Linked DNA regions of Callithrix jacchus. The protein of the gene in region 1 purifies or fractionates together with the protein of each later gene. This does not show direct contact. Links are inferred from orthologs where the notes say so. Each region holds a gene or a part of one and is shown on either strand. Other genes may lie near its edges. The genes, in order: CSTF3 and CSTF2T.

What was found.
Region 2: the proteins of CSTF3 (region 1) and CSTF2T purify together in Homo sapiens (co-immunoprecipitation; 4 studies listed by BioGRID and IntAct, counting the BioPlex papers as one, with this or other methods). This does not show direct contact. The link is inferred for Callithrix jacchus from reciprocal best matches to the Homo sapiens genes CSTF3 and CSTF2T.

What each region holds. Positions count from the first base shown.
Region 1 is NC_133511.1:98,462,978-98,465,987, reverse strand, and holds the end of CSTF3 (cleavage stimulation factor subunit 3), read left to right. Parts: intron 1-823; coding exon 824-918; intron 919-1,036; coding exon 1,037-1,097; intron 1,098-1,516; coding exon 1,517-1,719; 3' UTR 1,720-2,225; downstream 2,226-3,010. UniProt on the Homo sapiens protein: One of the multiple factors required for polyadenylation and 3'-end cleavage of mammalian pre-mRNAs.
Region 2 is NC_133513.1:78,568,815-78,573,381, forward strand, and holds CSTF2T (cleavage stimulation factor subunit 2 tau variant), read left to right. Parts: upstream 1-1,708; 5' UTR 1,709-1,777; coding exon 1,778-3,601; 3' UTR 3,602-4,047; downstream 4,048-4,567. UniProt on the Homo sapiens protein: May play a significant role in AAUAAA-independent mRNA polyadenylation in germ cells. Directly involved in the binding to pre-mRNAs.

The DNA.
Region 1 (3,010 bases):
AATTATGGGTTAATTATTAAACTTAGGGTCACTATGACAAGTAACTTAGCTTTAATCTTTGAACCAGATTAACTAAGAACGTCCTAAAAACAAAACTTCAATGATCCAGATTCCAGGAACCCATCTGGCAGTGATACTTGGTTTTCAGAAATGCTGCTATGGCCGGTCGCAGTGGCTCAATCCCAGCCTGTAATCCCAGCACTTTGGGAGGCTGAGGCGGGTGAATCACCTGAGGTCAGGAGTTCAAGACCAGCCTGGCCAACATGGTGAAACCTTGTCTCTGCTAAAAATACAAACATTTTCTGGGGATGGTGGTGAGTGCCTGTAATCTCAGCTACTTGGGAGGCTGAGGCAGGAGAATTATTTAAACCCGGGAGGCAGAGGTTGCAGTGAGCCAAGATCGTGCCGTTGCACTCCAGCTTGGGCAACAAGAGCCAAACTTCTTCTCAAGTTAGTAGCCTCTCTAGATTATTTTTGAACAAGGCCCTTCTGATTAAATATGTTGTTGAATAATTGACTTGAAACAGGATTGCTGAACAAATGACTTGTGCAACTCAGAAAACGTCTTTGACAAAAATTGACTTTAGTTCAGCCCTGGTCTTGTACAAAGTCACTTGTGTACTTCTCTGCCTCCTCGTGGCCATGGCGTTGAGACAGCTCTCACTGTCTCAACTGCTTTGGTTTCGTAAATCACTAGAAGCAACTTAAATGTCCAGAACAAAGCAGCATAGCATGGAAGATCTTTATGTGCAAGTCACATTATTTTAGCTCTTTGCAGAAACTCTTCCATCCTACTTGATTCATACTTTTCTTTTTCTGACAGCTCCAGGCTTACATCCTGTACCTGGTGGAGTGTTCCCAGTCCCCCCTGCAGCTGTTGTTTTAATGAAACTTCTCCCTCCTCCTATCTGTTTCCAGGTTTGTTTATTATTTTCATGGTAGATACTGGCTCTGTGGGTTACAGTAACTGTACAAAGTTATTGCTACTTCAACTTATCAGATTACTAGGGATTAAAATTTATTCATGTCAAAATAGGGTCCCTTTGTACAAGTGGACGAACTGATGGAAATTTTCCGAAGATGCAAGATACCAAATAGTAAGTAACGGAAACTCCATTTCAGAGTGTCATTCCACATTGCTGTCTCATAGGCGGAGGACACTGTTATTCTTTGCCACTTAAGTTTACAAAAACAGCCAGTCAACTTGAAGTGCACTGAAACCCAGGAGTTATCCAAACCCTCTCTGGCAGAGAGAGGCTTATTCATATTGAATTCCACTAAATAAAATGTCATAAAAGCTTATCTTTTCTATTCAGGTGAACATGCACTATCAGACTTGGCTTATGAAAATAACTTTATTAGTGCTTTTGTCTTTTCCTTTAATTATTTAGCATCAGTAGTACCATCCCATATTTTGCTAAAATAGTAGGCTATGAAGTGAACTATAAGTATCCACAGCTGAACATACATACCCTTTCCTAGTGGAATATGTTTTTACATTTTGTTGTTTTAATAGCTGTTGAGGAAGCTGTGAGGATTATTACCGGTGGGGCCCCAGAGCTAGCTGTAGAAGGCAACGGCCCAGTGGAAAGTAATGCAGTACTCACCAAGGCTGTCAAAAGGCCCAATGAGGATTCAGATGAAGATGAAGAAAAGGGAGCCGTTGTCCCGCCTGTTCATGACATTTACAGAGCACGGCAGCAGAAGCGGATTCGGTAGGGCTTAAAACGCCTCTGCAAGAAAACTCCTGTCCAGGATTCCCTTTTTGCCTCAAGTCGTATGTTTAAAAGAGACAACGCTTTGTTACAAGGTTCTTGGAAACAAAGTTGTATTGTCATTGGTGCCTCTATCATATGGTTCTTGGGAAAAAACAAACCAACCTGTGTGAATTTTAGAATATGGAACAGACCTATGCTCTAAGCAAAATTTAGGTTTTCAAAAATGTGAGAACAGTACAAAATGGCAGAACCACATTTTGTTCCCTCTTCAAGGGTGTCTTGTATGTGCCGCTTGAAGATTTGTGAGTTTTTCAACAGTTTTATTTTAAAAACTGGATGGCTTATGATTGTAAAGCATTTTGTCACATTTCCTGAAAAACAATTGTTCTTGGTTTGCTTATGTAGAGTCCTGCCTTATTGTTTGTTTTTATTTATGGCAGAATGTATGAAATCTGTTTTGTAGTTTGAAATTTTAAAAGTCCTTTAAAAAATAAAAGGATTCAGAAACATCATGCTTCCTGTGCATCTTTCAGATTTTATTTATAATAACTACTTATGTTATTTGTTCAATACCATTTAAAAATAAATGTCAGTACAAGGAAAAGTCATCTTGTATTTACTAAATGTAGGCTGCATCACACACTCTTTCCTGGTTTTTTTTTTTTTTACTAAAAACATTTTTAAGAGGCAAATTAAATATTTTAGAAATCCTCAAATATGAATGCATTTGCTCCCCAGTAAGTCTGAGACGGATTAAGATCCTGTTATCTTTTCTCTCTCTTGAAAGCAACCTAAGTGTGGTAATTTGTTTAACCTCCTGCTGTCTTGTTCTCACAGAGTTGGGACCAGAAGTATTCAGGATTTTGGATTTGTTTCCATTTCAGAATATTTGCATCATACTTACCAGTTTACTATCCCTCATCCAAAAGTCCAAACTCCAAAAATCTCCACTGAGTATTTTCTTTGTGCATCATGTTGGCACCCAAAAAGTTTTAGATTTTGAAACACTTTGGATGTCAGATTTTCAGATTAGGGATACTCAACTTGTATATTTTCAAAGGTGCCCAGTGCTCAAGAACATTTTTTCCCATGAGCTAAACGTAAATAGCATTAAGGAAAATGACATCTATTTAACTAATTCTAATTACAGTGAACAAAAATTTGTCATGCAAATTGTCCAGAGAACTAGACTTTGCTCTTTGGTAACAACTCCTCTTCCTCTTCTCATTACTAGTTAAAAACTAAAAAGCAGGATGGAAACAAAAAGGAGGGGAGGAAGAGTACTATGTTTA
Region 2 (4,567 bases), on another chromosome or scaffold:
TTTTTGCTGAAACTTAGAAGTTTCATAATCCACTTAAAAGGCATATTATATTTCAGAATAAAATAATTATGTTTTAAAGCACAGGCTTGGAGCAGTCCAGTCCACAGATGTATAACGCAATCTATACATATAATTTAAAATTTTCTAATAGCCACATTTTAAAAAGTAAAATAACATTAATTTCAAAATAATTTTTTAATCCATTAAAAACACTACATTTCAATTTTAAAACAATATAAAATTGATGAGCTATTTTGACTTTTTTTGTATTTATTAAAATCGTTCATGTATTTTATATGCATGGCATACCTCAACCGTAGTGTTAAATTTTGACTGGAAATACTTTATTTTTATTTTTTGTCTTAGTGTTCTGTGAAATAATTTTTATTTAGAACACAATTATTACAAAAACAGATTCTACACTCAAGTTGTTCCAAATACTAAAAAAGTTTTCCAATAGCCTACTGAACATTAGTTTTTATATTTAAATTAATAAAAAATGAAATTTAAAAATTTCATTTGAAATTTAAAAATTTTAATTTTAAGAAATTTAAATTTAAAATTTAGGATTGAGGAATTTAAATTTAAAATTTCATTTAGAAATTTAAATTCCCCAATCATACTAGCTGCATTTCAAATATTCAATACATGTAAGGAGACAGCGTAGATCTGGAGCTATGTGAGACCAACCTGGGCTAGAATCCTGGCTTTGCCTCTTACCGACTGCTTGTTCTTGGGCAACTGATCTAGCCCTCTCCGAGCTTCAGTTCTATCTTTGAATTAAGGTGGGGGTAAACCCTGCAAAACTAACAGCAGAAGAGAAACACCCACTATTTGTTTACCCTTTCATAGAAGTGGTGGACTCACTGCATCATATAATAAAAATTAGAACCAATCAATATAGGAATAATAAAGTATATTTCATTATTCCATACTATGAAGCCATAAAATGCTTATAACTAATCACTTATTTAATCACCAATAATATTTAAATCAGTTAATACTATTAAGGAACAAAATCGTAATATTAGGAACTGCCCCTGTGCTCAGGAAAAACCTAGAAGGATCTGCCCCTCATCCATTAACAGCAGTTACAGGAAGCAACAGAGTGGGAGCGGGGCCCAGCCGGCACACGCTTCGGTTTATAATTCTTGGCAGTTAATTTCCAAAAACGTTGTTGTTTTAAAAAGGAGATAATACTGTTTTACTTTAAGGGGCAAATCTCAAATTTGCCTTAAAACAACTACACTTTTGCCTCGGTCTGGAATGTAATTTTAAATATAGCTTAACTATACTATAATAAACGGCCATATGAAAATACTTGGTCAGAGCGAAAAACACGGCGCCTTAAATCAGCTTTCGGTTGGCGGTTTCCCGCCGGTGGAACGGAAACAAAACCGCTTTTGACGTCAAGGGAGGCGTCCCTTCCCAGTTACCTTGGTGAAGTCTATGTGGCCATCTTTACTGTGGTCATCTCGTACCAAGCCTGTCGTAGTGGGGCTGTTAGGACTCCACAGAAAGTCGGCCTAAAATGAAATGGGAAAGGAATCTTGCGACTCCTGTGACAAAAAGCTGACAGAACCACGAAGAATCAGGGACGGAAAGCATTAGTTGTTAGTGGGATGCAGGTTCCACAGGCAAGCGGAACGATTCAAGCGAATTAGTAAGGTTTCTGCCCGGATATTGAGAGCCGCTTCCGTTGCTCAGCGGAAGTGCCGATCGCAAGAGGACAGACACCTCGAAGAATCCGCTATCGGCTGTGCGCACAACCGGAATCATGTCGAGTTTGGCGGTGAGAGACCCGGCAATGGATCGATCACTGCGTTCAGTGTTCGTGGGAAACATTCCGTATGAGGCAACTGAGGAGCAGTTAAAGGACATTTTCTCGGAGGTTGGTTCTGTTGTCAGTTTCCGGCTGGTATACGATAGAGAGACGGGAAAACCCAAGGGCTATGGCTTCTGCGAATACCAAGACCAGGAGACCGCGCTTAGTGCCATGCGGAACCTCAATGGGCGGGAGTTCAGTGGGAGAGCGCTTCGGGTGGACAATGCTGCCAGTGAAAAGAATAAGGAGGAGTTAAAGAGCCTCGGGCCTGCAGCGCCCATTATTGACTCACCCTATGGGGATCCCATCGATCCAGAAGATGCCCCTGAATCGATTACCAGAGCAGTAGCCAGTCTCCCCCCAGAGCAAATGTTTGAGCTCATGAAGCAGATGAAGCTCTGTGTCCAAAACAGCCACCAGGAGGCTCGAAACATGTTACTTCAAAATCCGCAACTGGCTTATGCCCTGTTGCAGGCACAGGTAGTGATGAGAATCATGGATCCAGAGATTGCTCTGAAAATTCTGCATCGGAAGATACATGTCACACCACTGATCCCGGGCAAATCTCAGGCTGTGTCTGTCTCTGGCTCTGGCCCTGGTCCTGGCCCTGGCCCTGGGCTCTGCCCAGGTCCTAATGTTCTGCTGAACCAGCAGAATCCTCCAGCCCCTCAGCCTCAGCATTTGGCTAGAAGACCTGTGAAGGACATTCCTCCTCTGATGCAGACTCCTATCCAGGGTGGAATTCCAGCTCCGGGGCCAATACCAGCTGCAGTTCCCGGACCTGGTCCTGGTTCCTTAACTCCTGGAGGAGCAATGCAGCCCCAAGTTGGAATGCCAGGGGTTGGCCCAGTGCCTTTAGAGCGAGGACAAGTGCAGATGTCAGATCCTAGAGCTCCTATACCTCGTGGACCCATGACTCCTGGTGGCCTGCCTCCTCGAGGACTGTTAGGAGATGCTCCAAATGACCCACGTGGAGGGACTTTGCTTTCAGTCACTGGAGAAGTGGAGCCCAGAGGTTATCTGGGCCCACCCCATCAGGGTCCCCCCATGCATCATGTTTCTGGTCATGACACCCGTGGCCCTTCCTCCCATGAGATGAGGGGAGCGCCATTGGGAGATCCCAGACTGCTAATTGGAGAGCCCAGAGGCCCCATGATAGATCAAAGGGGTCTACCCATGGATGGCAGAGGTAATAGAGACTCTCGAGCGATGGAGACTCGCGCCATGGAAACTGAGGTCTTAGAGACGCGTGTGATGGAGAGGAGAGGAATGGAGACCTGTGCGATGGAAACCAGAGGGATGGAAGCAAGAGGCATGGATGCAAGAGGATTGGAGATGAGGGGCCCTGTCCCCAGTTCAAGAGGCCCTATGACTGCTGGAATTCAGGGTCCTGGTCCCATTAATATAGGGGCAGGTGGCCCTCAGGGACCCAGACAGGTCCCAGGCATTTCAGGGGTGGCAAATCCTGGAGCTGGTATTCAGGGAACAGGCATGCAGGGAGCAGGCATACAAGCAGGAGGGATGCAGGGGGCAGGCATACAAGGAGTGGGAATACAAGGAGCAGGCATACAGGGGGCAAGCAAGCAAGGTGGAAGCCAGCCTAGCAGTTTTAGCCCTGGGCAGAGCCAGGTCACTCCACAGGATCAGGAAAAGGCAGCTTTGATCATGCAGGTTCTTCAATTGACTGCAGATCAGATTGCCATGCTGCCCCCTGAGCAAAGGCAGAGTATCTTGATTTTAAAGGAGCAAATCCAGAAATCTACTGGAGCTTCTTGAAAGGTTTTAGAAAGTACTTGGCTGTAGTCTGAAAGTTTATTCTGTAGCATTGAGAATGGGTGCAAAAAGCTGACTTCTGCATCCTGACAGTTTGATTAGGTTTTCCCTCCTCCTAGAACCTAATCTTTTGTTGTTGTTGATGTTCTTTTTATTTCTTTCTGTTTTTCTTTCTATTTTTAATTGAGGGTGGGGGGAGGAGGGGAGTCTGTTCACTTTGAGTTACTGTAAAATAACTGAACATGATGATACTATGCCAAATAAGATTAGAAAGAATAAGCAGCAATATTAAAGTGTCCACAATATGTTAACTACATTTTTTTAATGTGGAGTAAAATTTTGTGAAAACTGCTCTTAAAGACTAAAAGTTGACCTGTTAAAACGTTAATGTACTAAGATAGTTTTAAGATTTTTGGTTGTGTAACAAAATAAAGACGTTTACCTCAAAAGTTTAAGATATATTTCTTGGTAAACCATTTAAAATGCAAAATCTTATTTTGGAGGCAATAGGTTAAACATAGTCTTAGTGCTTTAGAATTATTTTTGAAACATTAGCGTTAATAGGGTAAGTTTAAACTTGTATTAGAATTGTTTTTTTCTAAAGTTATGTTACCTGAAAAATTAAGAACTGTACCTGGTTTAATGTTGCTTCATTTATCACATCCTTCGGAGACCAGCAAGGTTCTGCCAGGCCTCCAGCATCTGAACATGATGATTTTGCTCTGACAATTCTAAAATCAACAAGGTTACTTAAGACTGCTCTGATGGAACCTAATAATCTTTCAATACCTTCCTGTTTCTCAATAGTCTTTCAACCCTAAATCTGAGTCAGTAATTCTCTCACATCCTTCCCAAAAATCAGTGTCTAGAGACCAGTTAAGCTCGATGAGTTATACATGGTATTTTACTTTTCATAACTAGTGGAAGGTTTCATTCATTAAGTAAAGCTCTCAGCTTCTTGGTATCTGT